Mus musculus: one gene and its partner. Each later gene encodes a partner of the first gene's protein in a complex. Links are inferred from orthologs where the notes say so. Each region holds a gene or a part of one and is shown on either strand. Other genes may lie near its edges.

The links.
Region 2: Ing5 (region 1) and Kat7 share a complex: the UniProt entries of both Homo sapiens proteins name them as parts of the HBO1 complex. The link is inferred for Mus musculus from reciprocal best matches to the Homo sapiens genes ING5 and KAT7.

Annotation. Positions count from the first base shown.
Region 1 is NC_000067.6:93,802,445-93,806,793, reverse strand, and holds the start of Ing5 (inhibitor of growth protein 5), read right to left. Parts: upstream 2,830-4,349; 5' UTR 2,792-2,829; coding exon 2,755-2,791; intron 747-2,754; coding exon 675-746; intron 1-674. UniProt on the Homo sapiens protein: Component of the HBO1 complex, which specifically mediates acetylation of histone H3 at 'Lys-14' (H3K14ac) and, to a lower extent, acetylation of histone H4. Component of the MOZ/MORF complex which has a histone H3 acetyltransferase activity.
Region 2 is NC_000077.6:95,307,310-95,311,638, reverse strand, and holds the start of Kat7 (histone acetyltransferase KAT7), read left to right. Parts: upstream 1-1,392; 5' UTR 1,393-1,589; coding exon 1,590-1,604; intron 1,605-1,940; exon of another isoform or gene 1,941-2,081; coding exon of another isoform or gene 2,082-2,102; exon of another isoform or gene 2,103-2,261; intron 2,262-4,329. UniProt on the Homo sapiens protein: Catalytic subunit of histone acetyltransferase HBO1 complexes, which specifically mediate acetylation of histone H3 at 'Lys-14' (H3K14ac), thereby regulating various processes, such as gene transcription, protein ubiquitination, immune regulation, stem cell pluripotent and self-renewal maintenance and embryonic development.

The DNA of each region.
Region 1 (4,349 bases):
CAGGCCAGCCAGGGCTACAAGAGATAGGCTAGGGAGATGGCTCAGAGGCAATGAGAGCATACGGACACAAGCCTGAGTCCTCTAGGACCTCAAGGACCGCACTTAAAAGCCAAGTGTGGTAGGACGTGCTTCTGCGATTCCAGTGCACTTACTGGAGATGGGCGGCAGAAACTGGAAAATCCCAGCTAGCCTGGTATATACAGCAGTGAAGATGACAAGAGACTGCCTTTCAAATAAGGTGGAAGATGAGGTCTGAACCCAAGGCTGACCCTACAAGAAACTAACCCTGAATTAAAAGTATCAGCATTGCTCCTCCTTCCCAAATACGTGGAAGGCTATGGAAGGTGCACTGAGAGTTCAAGGCCAGCCTGGGCTACAGAGTAAGACCCTGTCTCAAAACAAACAAACACAAAAATTAGGCATGATAGTGGACACCTTTAATTCCAGCATTCCAGAGGTAGAGGCAAGTGGATCCGAGTTTGGGCCTGGCCTGGCCTACACAGCCAGTACATAGCAAGAACAAAACAAACAAAAAACAAAAAAAGGACCAGCACTCCTTCCAAGACACTGTGCAATGTTAACCCTCCAATATACAAGGTCCCTTCAGGGCCCTGTGACACCCCACGCCCGCTCCTGTCTCTCTCTGGTGAAAACCCAGCCCAGGCTATACCCACCTTCTGTTCTCTGGTCTAGCTCTCGCATCAGCTGGAAGTTCCTCTGAAGTTCACAGGGAAGGTTCTCAATGCCTGAAAGAGACAAGAAAGTTGCTATACTTCTCAATAAGACAAAAACCTGCCTCCATGGATGGGAGAGAGAGATGGCTCAGCTGTTAAGAGCACTTACTGCTCTACCAGTAATCTCAAGTTCAACTCTCACCCACAAAAAAGCTCACAGCCATCTGTAACTCTAGTTTGAGGGATCCAATGCCCTCTTTCTGTCCTTGGAGAGCATTGCATACATGTGGTACACAGACACACATGTAAAACACCCATATACATAAAATATACAGGGCCTTACACCAAAGCCTACAACAGCAGGCTTCATCTATTTCTGTCCTAGTTTGGGGACCAAATGATTAAGACTTTGTAGGGGCTGGAAGGTACCAAACAGTGAGCACAACAGGCTGACAGTTTCAGAAGTGCCAAAAGCTGGAGGATGCAGAAACCTGGCCCCCAGCAGACACAGGCCGGGAAGACAGCTCAGACTCCTCCCCTGAACCACACCCTCCCTCGCCTCTATGTCACACACAGTGAACTTCATCCTCCCAAACTCAAGCCAGAACCTTAGTCCTCCTTGATCTCTCCAACTTTGTCCAGATTCCTACAATGCCAGGAGCTGCAGACCATGTGGTCTCAAGACACTGTTCTCTCGGCAAGGCCCAACATACCAGTCTCTAGTCACACACTGCTATGAGCACTGGAAAGGCAGCCATTAGCACCGAGCAGGTCCCACTGTGCAGCTCACCAGTCCCTGCGGTTCAAGTGAGCTGGCTGGCAAACCAACCCATGTGGCTTTTCTGCCCCACACTGCATCCCCTAGTACAGATACACCTCAGTCCTTAAGTTTACAGCAGGCTCCAGCTGCCTCTCTGGGTCTTTCTGCACTCAAATATCTCCACAGCCAACAAGGCCAGCAATTTAGGGCTAAATTTTATAAAACTTGCTGTTCTAAGCCTATAACTTCCTGAGCTCACCAAGACATTCCTATCTACAGCTTGACTCCAGCGACCCTGTCAGCTACTTAACCTTCTACCCTCCAGTCGCCCTCTCTACTCTCAGATAGAGAGACCTTTATCAGCAGTTTCTGGATCTATATTTACCCCATGCCTTAATCTTGGGAGCTATATATATATATGTATATATATGTGCGTGTGTGTGTGTGTGTGTACCCCAACTAATCAGTGAGTTGTAGAGAAATAGGGCTCTTGCCAACGCATGGGTGGCACAGGGCAGGTGGAGAGAGCAGAAAGGGGCCATCACACAATGTCAGCAGTGAAATGAACTCTCCTTGAACCCTCCTCAGAATGCCCACTGGATGGACATCAGAATAAAGATAGTTCACCTTGGAGTCCCACTGCCCAGGCCCAAGGAGAAAATGGGCGCCCCACTGGCTTGATCTACCTCCCTCCAAAGGGTCTCAATTCTTCCACTATAGAGTGGGAAATAATCCTCCTCCGAGTTCTTGCTGGGAGCCAATCTCACGGTCTATAAATAAACGGAGTTGCCAATTTCTGGGATGTCAAAGGTCAACCCGTTATACAGAGCATCCTCCCTTACCGGGCTGGCTCGTGATAGCACGAGTTCCCTCGAAAAAGGCACCCCACTAGCCTAGAGTTCCTTCCTACAGCTCCACAAGCAAACACAGTGGCTTTGGCTCTACAGAGGGATTTGAGCACCACAAGCCGCAGGTGAAGAAGGGGCGGGCCTCCCCGCAACCTAGACCGAAGTAGAGAGGCGGGAACAGAGGCGTGGTCAGCGTCGGGGGTGTGGCCGAAGCGGAGAAGGCGGGCTGAGCCCCAGGCCACACCCCTCCGTGACGCACCTGGAATTGGCGCGGCGGAGGCGGCGGGACCCCGCGCCGCGCCCCACGCCCTCCATCTGCGGCCCCGCCCCAGACCCGCCGTGAGCCCCCACAGTCCCCATGATCAGTCCCCATCCTCCTCCGCATCCCGGAGCCTCGCACGGATCGCGGTGGGCCGGGGGCGGCGGCGGCGGCGCGAACCCGCGCGGGCGGCGGCTCGGCCAGAGTGCTTACTGTCCAGATAGTGCTCCAAGTACATGGCAGTCGCCATCTTCGCCTCGGCCACGCTCGGGGTCTGCGCGAGCGGGCGGTGCCGCGGACTCGGGGCGGGGCGGCGCCGCGCGCTCACTATTCATGAGCCGCGTGCTCCGATTGGCCGGAAAGTGGGCGGGGCAACTCAGGGGCCACCCCTAGGCTTCCGGCCGGCTGTGGTCGCCAGGCGGCGCTGTGGGGCTTGCCCTGAGGGAACGCGGATGGGCGATGTGCTCGGTTCGCAGTTTGCAATGTGGAAGCTCTGTCTCTGGCCCAGCCGGATTCCAAGCCCTGGCAGGGGACTCCGCTTGCACGTGTGCTGGCGCCAAACCTGCCAGCCGACACCTGCCGCTCTTCCCGCGTTGTTCAGACACCCGCTGCCTGTGGTTTCTCCTGGCTGACGGGGCCTCCCGGAAGGAGACCCCCTCACAGGCATCGGTTAACTTCCATGCTCTTTGTGGCTGTCTGGTCCCGAGGGGGGCGTGCCCACGCTGGACCTCGGTTGCTTTGACTCGCACTTCGTGAAGAAGCCACGCACCCCTCGATGCCTGCAAAAATACATTTTACATTCCTACGGCAACTCTGTTACAGTTAATGAAACAATATAACTAAAATCCAGGGTTTACCAGAGTCCACTCTTGGTGGGCTCTAATATTTCTGAGAAGTATTAAGTATCCCCCTTATAGCATCCTGAAGAATATTTTTCACTGCCTTTAATTCTTTTGGTCTATTACAATAGCGCGCGCACACACACACACGCATACTTGTAACCAATAAACGTTTTAGAGTCTCTGTAGTATTGCTTTGCTAACATGCCATGTAGTTGCATTTTACAGTACACAGTCTTTTCAGACTGGCTGCATTTATCATTATACAGTTCAGGTTCCTCCATGTCCTAGTAAGTAACTGATAATTCACTTTTTACTTCAAAATTATTTCACTGTGTAATTACCAGTTTATCAGTTTGCGTGTTGGAGGACATCTTAGCTGCTTCCATATTTAGGCAAATGTGGCTAGAGCTGATACAATCATTTGTGTGCAGACATAGTTTCCAACCCATTTGGGTAAATATTGACTTCATGTTAAAAGTAGAGTGCTTTCTTGAGAAACAGCCAAGCTATCTTCCACACCGTTTTTGCCTTCTCCTCTGCACTGACAGTCTCCTTCGCTCCACGTCCTCACCAGCATGATGAAGGGTTAGAATTGTAGATTTGGGCTATTCTCGAAGAGGTGAAATTATCTTAATTCATGATTCCTAACAATATGTTTGTGTTGCACATTTTTACATATGTGTCTGGCATCTGTGTCACTTCTTTGGGTGTTAGTTCAAATGTTTGCATAAACCTTGATCTACCTCCCAAATGTTGGGTTTATAGGCTATGTCACTCACTATATCCAATTTATTCTGTGCTGGGTATGGAATCTTTGTTCATTAGGCAAAACATAACCCAGCCCAGCCTTTGACTGCGGATCCTTTTTTCTCTTCCTCTAGAGTACTGTTGTTTGGGTTTTTGAGCCTGGGTCTCACAATGTATCCCTGGCTGGCCTGAAACTATGTAAGTGGCCTCAGACTCACA
Region 2 (4,329 bases), on another chromosome or scaffold:
TTGTATTCTGTTCTTAAAGCCTCTCTCCAGGTTAGCCAGCCTCAAATGGAAATTCTGATAGGGGCCTGTGGGGGTTCAGGGGATAAAAGCACTTGCTCTTTCAGCAAGCTGGATGACCCGAGTTTGATCCCAGAGACACCACAAAGGTGGAAGTTAGGAATCTATTCCCCAAAGTTGTCCTCTGAGCACTCACCTGGTCATGAGTGCGTGCTCAGCTCACACACACACACACACACAAATCTGGAACCAGAATTCTATCTTGGTAATTACTGAGGTTGCTTTGATTCCAGCAAGTCACTCTTGGTTCACCTTGGTTCTTTCAAGTCCTCTGAGGCTAAAACTTCAAGGCCTACAAACCACTTTCCAGACTTTTCTTTTTCGAGACAGGATCTAGCCTGGAACTGGCCATGTAGACCAGGCTGGCCGTAAGCTCATGATTTGGATCTGCCTGCTTCAAAAAGCATGCACCCCCACCCCCACCCCCCCACCTGGTTCCAGACTTTTCGTATAGCTCTTTCTTCTAGTCTTAATTTCTTCTTCTTATGGCCTTTTATTATTACTTGAATACCCACTCCCTTTCTAGTGTCTTTCAAAATACTATTTCTCTCTCCACTCAGTTCTTGGCTCTTGCATTTGTGCTACAGAGGTCACACGGGCTGAATGAGGTTCAACACTTCTCCGACTTTTGGTACAGCACCCTCACATTCAAACCACGTCCTCCGCCCCTCTCCGGGCCACCCAAAGATCTCAAACCAAAGCAGAGCACTGATAAGCCGGGGGCGTTTCACAACAGAGATAAACTGGAAATTCTTTGGCGCTCCGGCATCCTGAGAATGGCTCTGCATCATCTCATAACTTACTTCTTGTTCTCTTAACGCAAGGACAAGGCATAAAGAGAACACTCTACCCCACTTCAAGACCGACAACGACCCTGTCAATCCTTTATTCAAGCCCCATTCACACCACTCCGGAACACGGAATAGCTCTTACAGCAGTTCCTTGGGCAAAATATCTCTTGCCAGTTCGGAGTTTACAGAATGAACGGAAACGTCCTTCGGCCGACTAGGAAATGAAAGAGTTAAAGATCGACAACCTGATGGATTCTGGGGTTTTCCTCCCTCCACGCCACAAATTAAAACGACGAGGAAGGAAGAGTTTGCCCAATGTAAAGATGAAAACGGTTACCTTCAACTGCCAGACTTCTGCCCCAAACAATCATGGCTACCTAATCCCACACGAATGCCGCCTACCTAACTAAAAAGGTCTAGCCGAAGGTTTCACCACTGGTGCCGTCTCCTGCCCAATTCCAAAATGGCGCTGACTGGCCTCACTAAGAGTTTCGAGCTTCCCATGATCCTCACTGGCCTAAAGGTCAGGTGACGCAAGCCTCAGCCGGAAGTTAAGGAATAGGCGCTTCCAGCCCGCGGCGCTTGCGCAGAAGGCTCTAGACGCTGAGAGGTAGGAGGCACTTGGGATCGTCCGCAGGGTTTGGGACAGCTACAGAGGCCGCCACGGAGCCCGCCGGAGCCCCCGTTCCTGCTGGTGCTGCCGCCGCCCGAATCGGAACCGTCGGGCTGCAGCCGCCGGCAATGCCGCGAAGGAAGGTGAGAAATGGCAGAGAAGGGATGGCGGGTTTCTAAGGGGAGTCGATTGAGTAACGTGACGCGGTTGGCCACGCCTCGTCGTGCTTGGGTTCCAACTTTCTGGTCCCCCGAACCTAGCCTAGCTACTCTGTCTCCTCTCGGTACCAGACAGAAAAATGTGGGCCCGACCCTGGCCTCGGCCTATGCCTGTAACTATTCCCGCCCTCTGCTTGCCCGGATCGGAGGCGTTCTTGTTAATTGGTCGCGGAAATGTCTAGAAGCGTATTGATTGGATGGTGACGCCGCCTGTTTGGGCCCAACGGTCACCTCCCCGCGTGCGTGGGCGGTGTCTCGGTCTGGCCCCGGTGCTCTCCGACTGGCTGTGGCGAATGCTCTCCCTTCTCTTTATTGGCCCAGCTTTGCAGTCTGTTCTTGTGGCGGGTGCGGCTTAGCAAGGCCTGGATTGGGGCGACCAACGCCCCGCCCTTCCGGATAGAGATGGCGATAGGTGTTGTAAAGGCGAGTTGGGAAGACCACTTTCCTTTCCTGGTGGGGGGATTACAACAAAGCCGAGGATGGGTGGTTAGAAAGCCAGCGCCCACCCCCAAGGGATAGCTCGCAGGCCTGTTGCGTCTCAGTCACCGTCTTCCACCTATTTGTTCAGTTTGACATTTCCTGGTCAGTAAATGTTTGTTGAACTGTATGACATTTGCCCCATATGTTCAGTCGTAAAATGCAAAGAGCAGTGTTACGTGCTAGTTGCTAGGAATTCGAAAAGTATGCGTGATCACTGGCTTAAAGGGTTATCGCTGTTGAGAGAAGAACACAAAGAACCATAGTTCATACAGTCTCTGCTTGAAATTGTATACACTGTAAGAAAGCCGTTAACGTGGGAAATAAGTAAAGAGCTGATTTTCAGGGTTAAGCCAGGCAGAATTGATAGGTCATGGACGGGTGTCAGGGTCTTTGGCTGAGATGACCCTAAAGTTTGCCTTTTAGTGACATTCTGTGCCTCTATTTACTTGTGGTCAGATTTTTGAATGAAATATTTGGATGGATAGACGGTTGGTATTCATATTTCTGCAGAGATCACTCTTCATGGAAGCTTTCCAAGTTAAATATTTACATTAATGTCTCTTGCAATGACCAGAGTTGACAGGTAGTATTTTTTTAAAAGATTAATTTATGTATTTTATGTATGTGAGTACACTGTAGCTGTACAGATGGTTGTGAGCCTTCATGTGGTTGTTGGGAATTGAATTTTTAGGACCTCTGCTCACTCAGGCCCAAAGATTTATTTATTATTATACATGAGTACATTGTAGCTGAGTTTAGACGCACCAGAAGAGGGCACAGGTGTTTGTGAGCCACCATGTGGTTGCTGGGATTTGAACTCAGAACCCTCGGTAGAGCAGTCAGTGCTCTTAACCTGCTGAGCCATCTCATCAGCTCGACAGGTAGTATTTATATCCAGGCATACCAAATACAAGAGACAGACCTACTGGTTTGTTGGAATGATCTAGTCTCCTTTTAGCAGTTTCCAAATGTAAAAGTGGAGAATGTAAATTCTTCCTGGATGTTATGGTACAAGCCTTTAATTCCAGCACTTGGGAGGTGGATCTCTATAGTTTGAGGTACACATGGCTGATATGCTGGGGTGTCCTGACTCAAAAAGAAGAAGAAAATGTAAGTTCTTGCTGGGTATAGTGATACACACCTGTAGTTCTGGCATCCTGGAGGCTGAGGCAGGAGGCTCATCTTGAGCTTAAGGCAAACCTGGGTTATATAATAAATTCCAGGCCAGCCTGAGCTAAATAGCAAGAACCTATCTCAAAACCAACAAAACCCAAATGTAAATATGTTGGTAACTTGGTTGATGGCCAATCTGTCCTAATCTATCCTTAGGTTATTTAGTTTTTTTATATGCCTCATGTAGTGTGATACTAAATTTCTGTTTGCTAGAAAATATTAATGTTTTTAGTGTGGGTTGTTAATCACAGGATATATGTGTCCTCTGTAAGAATCTAGTAACTCCAAACATACTTGGCCCCAGGGAGCTTATTCTTTGAATAAAGCGTTGGGGCCTGGGACTAAGCTATAGCTCAGTGGGGTGTGGTTACTGCCGGGAAGCCCTGAGTTCAGTCCTTCGTCTGTCCCACTCCCTTTTCCTGCCAAAGATAGTAGGACTGAGTTTGAGGAGTTGTAGTGATTTCAGCAAGTACTCTTTGTCCAGCTTAGAAAAGAGCACGTGTCAGTGCTTACTAGGTAAAGTAATCTTCATGGCTCATCACCCTTCCAGAGGCCGAGAGTTATGGCTAGGGTGTGGCATGCGTTTTTCTGAGAACCTGACACGTGGGGCTGCAGGGATTGTTCAGCTGGTCAGAGTACTCATTGCTCTTGTAGAGGACTGGGTTCCAAGCACCTTGTTTCAAGCCTCACAACCGCTTATGACTCCAGTCCCAGGTGACTGGACAACCTCCCTTGACCTCCGAGGGCGTGTATGAGATCAATATACAGGCAAAACTTTCACACATACAGTAAAATAAATCTAATTTTTAAAAAGCCCGGTTTGAATACCTATTTAGTTTTTAGTATAAATTCCTTTCCAGCAGCACTTATAACATCCATGTGGAGAAACTTTGAGGACTGATGGTTAAGAAAATAATTTGTATCTTTTTTTTGGTTAATTTCTTTCAGTGGGTAAGAGCACCCGACTGCTCTTCCGAAGGTCCAGAGTTCAAATCCC